Macaca fascicularis: one gene and its partner. The protein of the gene in region 2 binds, or shares a complex with, the protein of the main gene of each other region. Links are inferred from orthologs where the notes say so. Each region holds a gene or a part of one and is shown on either strand. Other genes may lie near its edges.

Region 1 (3,624 bases), on a different chromosome or scaffold from region 2:
TGAATAAAAATTAGAAACTAAGCATTTTGATTCTTGTTCTTGTAAATAGAAAGGACCAAATAATACAAAATAAAGTGGCACATGGCATGGTAGTTAAGACTGAAGCCGGATGGCTAGATGGTTTACATTTCAATCCAATTATTAGCTATGTTACCTTGGGTAAGTCACTTAATCTCTCTGTGCTTGTTTCCTTATCTGTAAAATGGTGCTAATATTACCTACTCCTTAGGGTTATAAGATTGAAGACACAGCACTATGTTTATAATTGTACCTGGTGTATGTTTATACTATAACAACTGATAGCTAAATAAATTATATTAGTGAGAGGATGGTGTTAAATACTAAACTCCCCAAGGGCATGCGTGTCAGTGTTTCCTAAAATGGTCAAACACTCAACTTCCCCAAAAGCTGAAATTGCAATTGACTTCTTGAGATAGAGTACGTACTTTTCAGAATTGTTTCCTTTTCCCTGACTTAAGGTTAAGTGTGAGATTTAGGGTTAACTGAAAAGAACAACTCTTCAAGAAATACCTGGGAACTTGTAGTCTTCCAGGTTATCTGTATGTTGCCATAGGGTAATTTTAACATGTCATTTATACTACAGTATACCCTGAATTAATTCAAAAGAAAACACATCTAACATGTCTTAATTTTTTGATGCAGAAGAATCACTGTTTCAGGTTTCTGTTAACATAAGATTCCAATAAAAATAAAGTTTGTATTCGGTTCTTTGGTTTCTCTGGGTTAACTACTGAAACACACTATACTTCAGAAGTATTATACTATGCTCGATTAGTCTTACTGAAAGTTCTGGAAAATCAGAGGCTATTAATGTGTCGATGCTCATGCCCTTAGTGGTGTTATTCAGCGTCCTGGGAAAATAAACTGAAATGTGGCTCAAAATATGGCTCTAAGCTCAACAGGGCACAATCCACTACTTGCAAGTCTTCCCACCCCCTACTTTCCTAGGAAATGATTCTATTTTAGGTATTAAGTACCTCTCTCAACACAGCTATATTTAGTGCAGTTTTACAACTTCCCTTAGTATCAATAACACTTCTGTGACCAAACAAATAAACAAAACAAATGATTACAAACTGGTTTATTTTTTATGGGAAAGTGTCAACATCTTTATTGCTAATATAAGCATTTAATGTCAAAGAAATGAAGGTAATTTTACAAACTCAATTTTTGTAAGTACATGAAATTTCTATTTCATTATATGGTTTTGTATCACATTCATTCAAATGCATTTCTCTCCCTTACAGGGACTATTCCAACATCACTCCTTTGGAATTATTTCAGTCATCCCTAACATGTGACTTTACCAAAGACCTTGAAGCTAAACAAACAAGCAAAACAAAATTTCAATGACTTTTAGATGAATGGAATAAGAAATAGTCATCACATGTCAATTAGGGATGTTTATCTCCAACAAGACACTGTCAAAATGTTTCTTCTGATACAGCAGTTATAAGTCAGAGCCTTCAAAAAACAAGGGCAGAACAAGAGCACAATAAAAGAAGCACCTGCAACTTAAGCCTCCCACAGTCCTAAGCCTGATATGCGCAAAGCAAAGCCTCTTTCCCACAAACTCAATTCCATCCATTTGAGCTTTCAGAGATAGATGCCCAAGAACTACCATTAATGTATACAGCATATTGACTCTAGTTGCATCAATTATGCCTGAAGAGTTTAATACCCATCCAAGTCCAAAGGTGGAAGAATACATACACTGGTATGGTAATAGGCAAGAGCAGGCTGTAAAAGCAAAGGCTGGCTGTGCTAGTGCAGCCCTGTGGGAAGTTTTCTTCCACAGAGGCTGAGTAGAACAGTCCTGTTAAAGAAACCAGTGGAATAAGAACAGTCAATGTAGGAAGAGACAGAAACATTCTTCTCTTCCACTTATTACCTGCCACTGTGTTTTAAAAGGTATATGGTACTAAGAAAAGTTGGCTGTTGCGTTTTATGTTTTTTTAATTATGAACTAGCGCTGCTCCACTTCTTCCTGCTTCTTACTTTGATGCGTCATCCTAGCTGCCTGTGGTATCATATTAGGAATCCCATCAATGATTGGATAAGCTATTCCCAACTCTTCATTAATCAATTCATTTGTTGATGCTTCATATCTGGGGTGGAAAAAAAAAAGAACAAAATGAGTTGTGGAAAAATAAAATAATTGAAGAGCCTGATTTTCAACAAATACCATCATTTATCCAATTCTTGGTATGGAGTTAATCCCAGAATAGTCTTCTTTCATTAAAAGCAACGATAGCCAATTCAACCTTTTATCTTAGAAAAATTCTCTTAGAATCTATAATTATTCCCATTTTAGTCAGTTTCTCTCATATTCTCTTTTTCACCTTATTCACAAGTTATTCTTTAATTTTTTTTTCATACTAGTCAGAAAAGATCCCCCTCTCTTATCCAAATATTCCTTCATTACTTTGGTCAACCCCCAAATCATCTCTGTTAATTTACTACTGGAATAAACACTAGAGAAAAATCAACTTCTTCGTTTTAGAATAAATGCTAAGCAGAAAAACTTAACTAATCCATTAGAAGGAAATCACTGGAAAAGGTGAGAGGGCAGAAATGAGGAAACTTTGGAAAGCAGTAAGTCTGCCGTGAGCTAGTTATAAACGCAAATCAAATAATTTCAAGGTTTGAGAAAACTGAATATGTTTATTATGGGAAAAAAGAAATATGAAAAATTGCTAGCAATCTACCACTCAAAGATAACCACTGACAACGTTTTGGTGTTTCGTTTATGCGATTTGTAATACTAGCGTTAGTGTTGTCAATATTCCATTTTTGGGAGCTTGGAAACTGTAGAGCTGTCTTCCCAAAAACTAGGTTAAAGAGGCTTCTAAGAAATCTGCTAGGCCACAACTAAGAGCCACCAGGCAGCATACACAGCTGAATTGCTTAAGATTGTCAGGCACCAGTTGTACAAGACACTTTCACAAGAATCTGGAGGGTAAAATACTTTTCATTATCTTGGCTTAAAAACCGGATGGCTTTGGACTTGTCCTGAATCGCAGTAATTCAAGAACCTGGTGGTACGTTAGAAATCATTTAGGGACCATTTAAGAACACAAATAAGCTGGGCGTGGCGGCGGCGCCTGTCTCCCGACTCCTGAGGAGGCTGAGGTGGGAGTTCTAGGCCAGTCTGGGCAACGTAGGGGGGCACCCTGTCTCTTAAAAGGAAAAAAAGAAAATACAAATGTTCAGGTCCCAACCCCCGAGCATTCCAAGTCTGCCCGTCTTGGGGGCTGCAGGGGAATCGGCATTTTTAAAACGGTCCCCGGGTGATTGCAAAGAGCAGCCGGTCGCGAAGCCTAAAACGCTTCGAGCCATTCCGGCAGGCTGGCTATGTGCTCTGGGAGATGTGGGACGCGGCTCCCCTGGCCTCCGGTCTCCCCCGTTCTGCCCGCCGCAGCGGGAGGTGCATGCACCGGCGGGGACAGAGTCCAGAATATGGCAGCGGAGAGTATTCACCGACCTACAAGTCCCCAGTGGCTGAGACAGGCCGCGGTCCACCACTCCCTTTCCGCCCACCGGGAGGCTGCGAAGGAAGGGCCAAGACCAGCGAGTCACCTGAGCGGCTTCTTGGAGAGCGGG
Region 2 (4,857 bases):
GCTGCAGTGAGGGGTATTCGTACCACTACACTCCAGCTTGAGCAACAGAGTGAGAAACTGTCTCAAAAAAAGGAAAGAAAGAAAAAGTTTGCTTATCTCTGTGCTAGATAATTATTTGTTGATTGATGAATGGAGGATTCAGTACTGGGTCTCTGATGATCCAGAAAGATCTAATTTTGAGTTAATTAATTGCACTGAATAAGCATTATGAAGAATGGAGAGGAATACAATTCAGCCCTGACCCGTATAGATTTATTAAAGTCAAGATTAATACACAGAAAATATTCTGGAGGACACTCTGATACTGACTATAAGTGCCAAAGGAAAAGTTAAAAAAAAAAAAAAAAAAAGAAAGAAAAAGACATTAAAGCACACAAGAATATATCCCATCACATCCAAGGAACTAGGATTTAATTGGTGCAGGGGAGGTGGTGGTTAGTGACCAATATAATTAGTTGAAAGGGAAGGGGGAAGAACATTCCAGGTTGGAATAAACAAGGGAACAACCTGGAACTTTAATAGAACTGTGAACTTAAAAACAAGAAGGAATGTAGGGATGAAGAACAGTAAATCCTTAAGGATTTGATCACGTCAGCTTTCCAATAAGAGCAATCCATGCCCTACTATCTGCATTTTTTTCAACTTCATTTTACTGTGTAGAATTGAAACAATTCAATATTCATTTGGGTTGGGGTTAAGCTGTATGTTTGAATGAATTCCTTCAATCAGATTTCTTCTCATTCCAGATATTCATTACTCTCATAAGCAGTTCTGAATAGGAAAGGTAAGAAATTTTGGCACACAGAGCCCTTAGAAAGTATTGCAGTAGAGTTTAAAGGAAGATGTGGTCACTGAGTCCTGGGGTACTTGATAGGGGTAAGCAGAGTACACCAGGATGAGAGAGATAAGTACAGAAGGGACCTGGCACAAAAACAGATTTTTGTTTTTAAATTTTGCCTAAGATCAACTATACAATGGTATAAAGGAAAAGAAAGGGTCTCAGAGTCAGAAAGCCCTGGGTTGGAAGCCCAGATCTGCCATTTACTGCTTTGAGACTTTGGATAACTCACCCTTCTTTGTGAGCTTTGGTTTTCTTCGTTCTAGGGCTAAAGTAAGGAATTCAGAAAAGCATCTGGCACTCAGTGGGCATTTAATAAATATCTATTTCCTCCTCCTCACATGACCACACACATAGGCTATAAGAACTCAGGCTAGGCTGGGCGCGGTGGCTCACGCCTGTAATCCCAGCACTTTGGGAGGCCGAGGTGGGAGGATCACAAGGTCAGGAGATCGAGACCATCCTGGCTAACACAGTGAAACCCTGGCTAACACAGTGAAACCCCGTCTCTACTAAAAATACAAAAAAAATTAGCCGGGTGTGGTGGCGGGTGTCTGTAGTCCCAGCTATTCAGGAGACTGAGGCAGGAGAATGGTGTGAACCCAGGAGGTGGAGCTTGCAGTGAGCCAAAATCGCGCCACTGCACTCCAGCCTGGGCAACAAAGCGAGACTCTGTCTCAAAAAAAAAAAACTCAGGCTAGTACTAAAATTCAACTATACTGTAAATTAAATTCTAGGGGGGCTATCAACTTAATCATTTTAACAGACTTATGAATAAACTTTTTTCTTTCTTTTTTTTTTTTTTTTTGAGACAGAGTCTCCCTCTGTTGCCCAGGTGGAGTGCAGTGGCGTGATCTCAGCTCACTGCTACCTCCGCCTACCAGATTCAAGCAATTCTCCCGCCTCAGCCTCCCGAGTAGCTGGCACTACAAGCGTGAGCCACCACGCCCAGCTAATTTTTGTATTTTTCGTAAAGACGTGGTTTCACCATGTTGGCCAGGCTGGTATCGAACTCCTGACCTCAAGTGATCCGCCCGCCTCAGCATCCCAAAGTGCTGGGATTACAGGCGTGAGGTACAGCCCTTCGCCTGAACAAACATACAGTTTAGATACAGTTAGATACAGTTTCCTACAATTAGGGCAGTCTTAATTCTGCATATTTCTATGCTAAATTACCATGCTCTGAAACATGCTTTGACAGCAAAAAAGCTAATGGATGCAGTAATGGAAACAATATCCAAGTTACAGAAATAAATAGCCCTGCTGTACTTAGCTCTGATAAGATCACTTCTGGGATAATACATTCAATTCAGGCACTACATATGAAACTAGAACTCATCCTGAAAAGGGAAACTGGGATAATTCTTTTTATTTGAGAGCTGTCACAAAGTTACTGCATTTAACCCTCACGATATCATGAAGCTGGTATGGCAGGCATGAATTCTATTATTAGAGATATAGAAAATTGAGGCTCAAAGAAAACAGGAATGAATCTGGAAATTGAGCACAGATATCACACACGTCCAAAATTTCATAATCCTTTAGAAAGTACTTGAAATTGGGGAAGGGTTTGGGAGGACGGAGGGTTAAAAAACTGCCTTGAAAAACAGAGATTAGGAAGAACTCTAACACTATCTATACACACGGATAAACACACACACTTGTGGAGGCAAAGACAGTTTGTGGAAGTCTACATAAAGTATTGTTAGCAGTACTACTTTGAGGAGCAGAAGTGATGGACAAGGAAGACTCACTTAAGAGTTCCCTGAACTCCTGGAATTAAATTACTGCGCGCCTATACTACATAGAACACATGCAAGTTAAAGTTTTATACCGTCGTGCAAGAACTAGATGTGTGCTGAGTGAACCCACCGAGCAGAGCACAGCCACGGAGAGGGAAGGTACTGTCCAGGAGCACACACTTCACTAAACGTCATTTAAAGAGCTGTCCAGCAGCGGAATGTCGTCCCCTGTCGTCCCCAGAACCCGTGAGTTCCCGCCCTTCTGTTCTATCATTGTAGGAGGGGCCGACCAGAGGTCCGGGCTCGACCAAAGATCCCAAAGACCCTCCCAAAGCCGAACCCCCTCCTTCGACCGCGGGGAGGGGCCGACTTGCCCTTACCTCGCAGAGGGTGAAGAGTCCGTAGGCCGCCAGCCACACCGTGCAGGTGACAGCGGTGAGCGAACGCAGCGAGAGCCGAGGGCAGCTGAGGCAGAATTCCCGGCAGGACGGGGAGTAGTAGCGGCGCTGCAGGGCCAGGCGGCCGCCGCAGATATCCGAAAAGCTCCGCTCATCCTCCATGATGCCCCGACTCGGCCGCCAGCACCGCACCGCGCGGCGCTCCACAGCGATCGCCCGCTCTAGGCGTCTCGCCTGCTCCAGACCCGCTTCCGGCAGCCGCGTCACCATGCCCCGCCCTAAGCCTGCGCAGCCTCAGTTGCGCGCCGAGAACCCTGTGTGGGGTTGATGACTGTGCATTCGTCCGGGCCGGCCTTGACCCGGCTTCTGTGATTGTCTTCGAACAAAGCCCGTCGGGGGCAATAGTTCAGCGGACGGATTAAAACCGTTTTTAGACCGGGCGCGTTGGCTCCCGCCTGTAGTCCAGCACTTTGAGAGGCCAAGGTGGGAGGATCGCTTGAGCCTGGGAGGTCGAGGTTGCAGTGAGCCGAGATCATGCCACTGCTCTCTAATCTGTGCGGCAGAGCAAGACCCTGTCTAAAAACAAGCAAATCCACAGTTTGTTTTTTGTTTTTGTTTTGAGATGGAATGGCGCGAACTCGGCTCACTGCAACCTCCGTCCCCCGGGTTCAAGCGATTATCCTGCCTCAGCCTTCTGAGTAGCTGGGATTACAGGCGTGCGCCACCATGCCCGGCTGATTTTTGGGTTTTTAGTAGAGACGGGGTTTCACCATATTGGCCAGGTTGGTCTCGAACTCCTGACCCCAGGTGATCCGCCCGCCTCGGCCTCCCAAAGTACTGAGATTACAGGCGTGAGCTACCGCACCCAGCCCAAACCCACAGTTTTAATCACGCTTTTGCTTGGCAAGGTGATTTCTCTAAGCCGGAAAGACGCAAGAAGAGTCCACGGGTATTCATTCCACTTTTTTCCTGTGCCGGGTAGTTTGAGGTGCTGAGGATGCAGCAGTGAACGATGTTGATGACAGTCTCTGCCCTCAAGTAGCTTCCTTTCTAGTAGGAGACAATATGGAAATAACTTGAGAATATTGTTGGCAATACTATGCTGACTGGCAGGGATTGACTGAGGACTTTACATAGGGCAGTCATGGGAAGTCTCTAAGAGGACACTGGAGTTACAAAGGGTGAGGAACCAGACAGGACTGAAGGAGCTCTGGAGGAGGAATTTGCCAGAAAGGAAGACCAGGAAAGACAAACCCCTCGAAATTGGAACAAACTTGGCTTAATGAAATAATCAAAAGGCCAGAAAGGTTGATATGTGAGGAAAACAGTTGGAAATGGGGGAGGTAGGTAGGGGTCAGATCCAAGAGGGTCTTGTACGGAGTTTGGATTTCACTGCCTGAGAGTTCTGTCTCCCAAATGACTGCTTGGACCGTGGTAGACAGGCAAGACCTGGCTGGGAATTAAGTAGGAGCGGGAGATGGAGATGGAATTGATAATAAAATTACTGAACTCATGCATAATAGTGGTGTATGGGTTCCATTTTTACTTCTGATGTGACCCAGGATTGGCTGTGTGGACTGTCAAAACACTGGTGATGGGCTGCGTGTAGTGGCTCATGACTGTAATCTCACACTTTGGGAGGCTGAGGAGGGCAGATCACTTGGGTCAGGAGTTCAAGATCAGCCTAGCCAACATGGTGAAACCCCATCTCTATTAAAAATACAAAAAAAAATTAGCTGGGCATGGTGGAGCGTCCCTCCCCTAACACATGGAGGTTACAGTTTGACATGAGATTTGGGTAGGCACACAGAGCCAAACCACATCACCCCTTTTACTATTGCATATATCATGTGTTTTATAATTTAAAAAGTGATATTTG

The links.
Region 1: PIGH (region 2) and PIGY share a complex: the UniProt entries of both Homo sapiens proteins name them as parts of the glycosylphosphatidylinositol-N-acetylglucosaminyltransferase (GPI-GnT) complex. The link is inferred for Macaca fascicularis from reciprocal best matches to the Homo sapiens genes PIGH and PIGY.

The regions. Positions count from the first base shown.
Region 1 is NC_088379.1:94,069,973-94,073,596, forward strand, and holds PIGY (phosphatidylinositol N-acetylglucosaminyltransferase subunit Y), read right to left. Parts: upstream 1,988-3,624; 5' UTR 1,893-1,987; coding exon 1,677-1,892; 3' UTR 1,088-1,676; downstream 1-1,087. Other genes in the region: PYURF (protein preY, mitochondrial), read right to left, coding at 1,988-2,129, 3,601-3,624. UniProt on the Homo sapiens protein: Part of the glycosylphosphatidylinositol-N-acetylglucosaminyltransferase (GPI-GnT) complex that catalyzes the transfer of N-acetylglucosamine from UDP-N-acetylglucosamine to phosphatidylinositol and participates in the first step of GPI biosynthesis.
Region 2 is NC_088381.1:135,500,899-135,505,755, forward strand, and holds the start of PIGH (phosphatidylinositol N-acetylglucosaminyltransferase subunit H), read right to left. Parts: upstream 3,211-4,857; 5' UTR 3,141-3,210; coding exon 2,961-3,140; intron 1-2,960. UniProt on the Homo sapiens protein: Part of the glycosylphosphatidylinositol-N-acetylglucosaminyltransferase (GPI-GnT) complex that catalyzes the transfer of N-acetylglucosamine from UDP-N-acetylglucosamine to phosphatidylinositol and participates in the first step of GPI biosynthesis.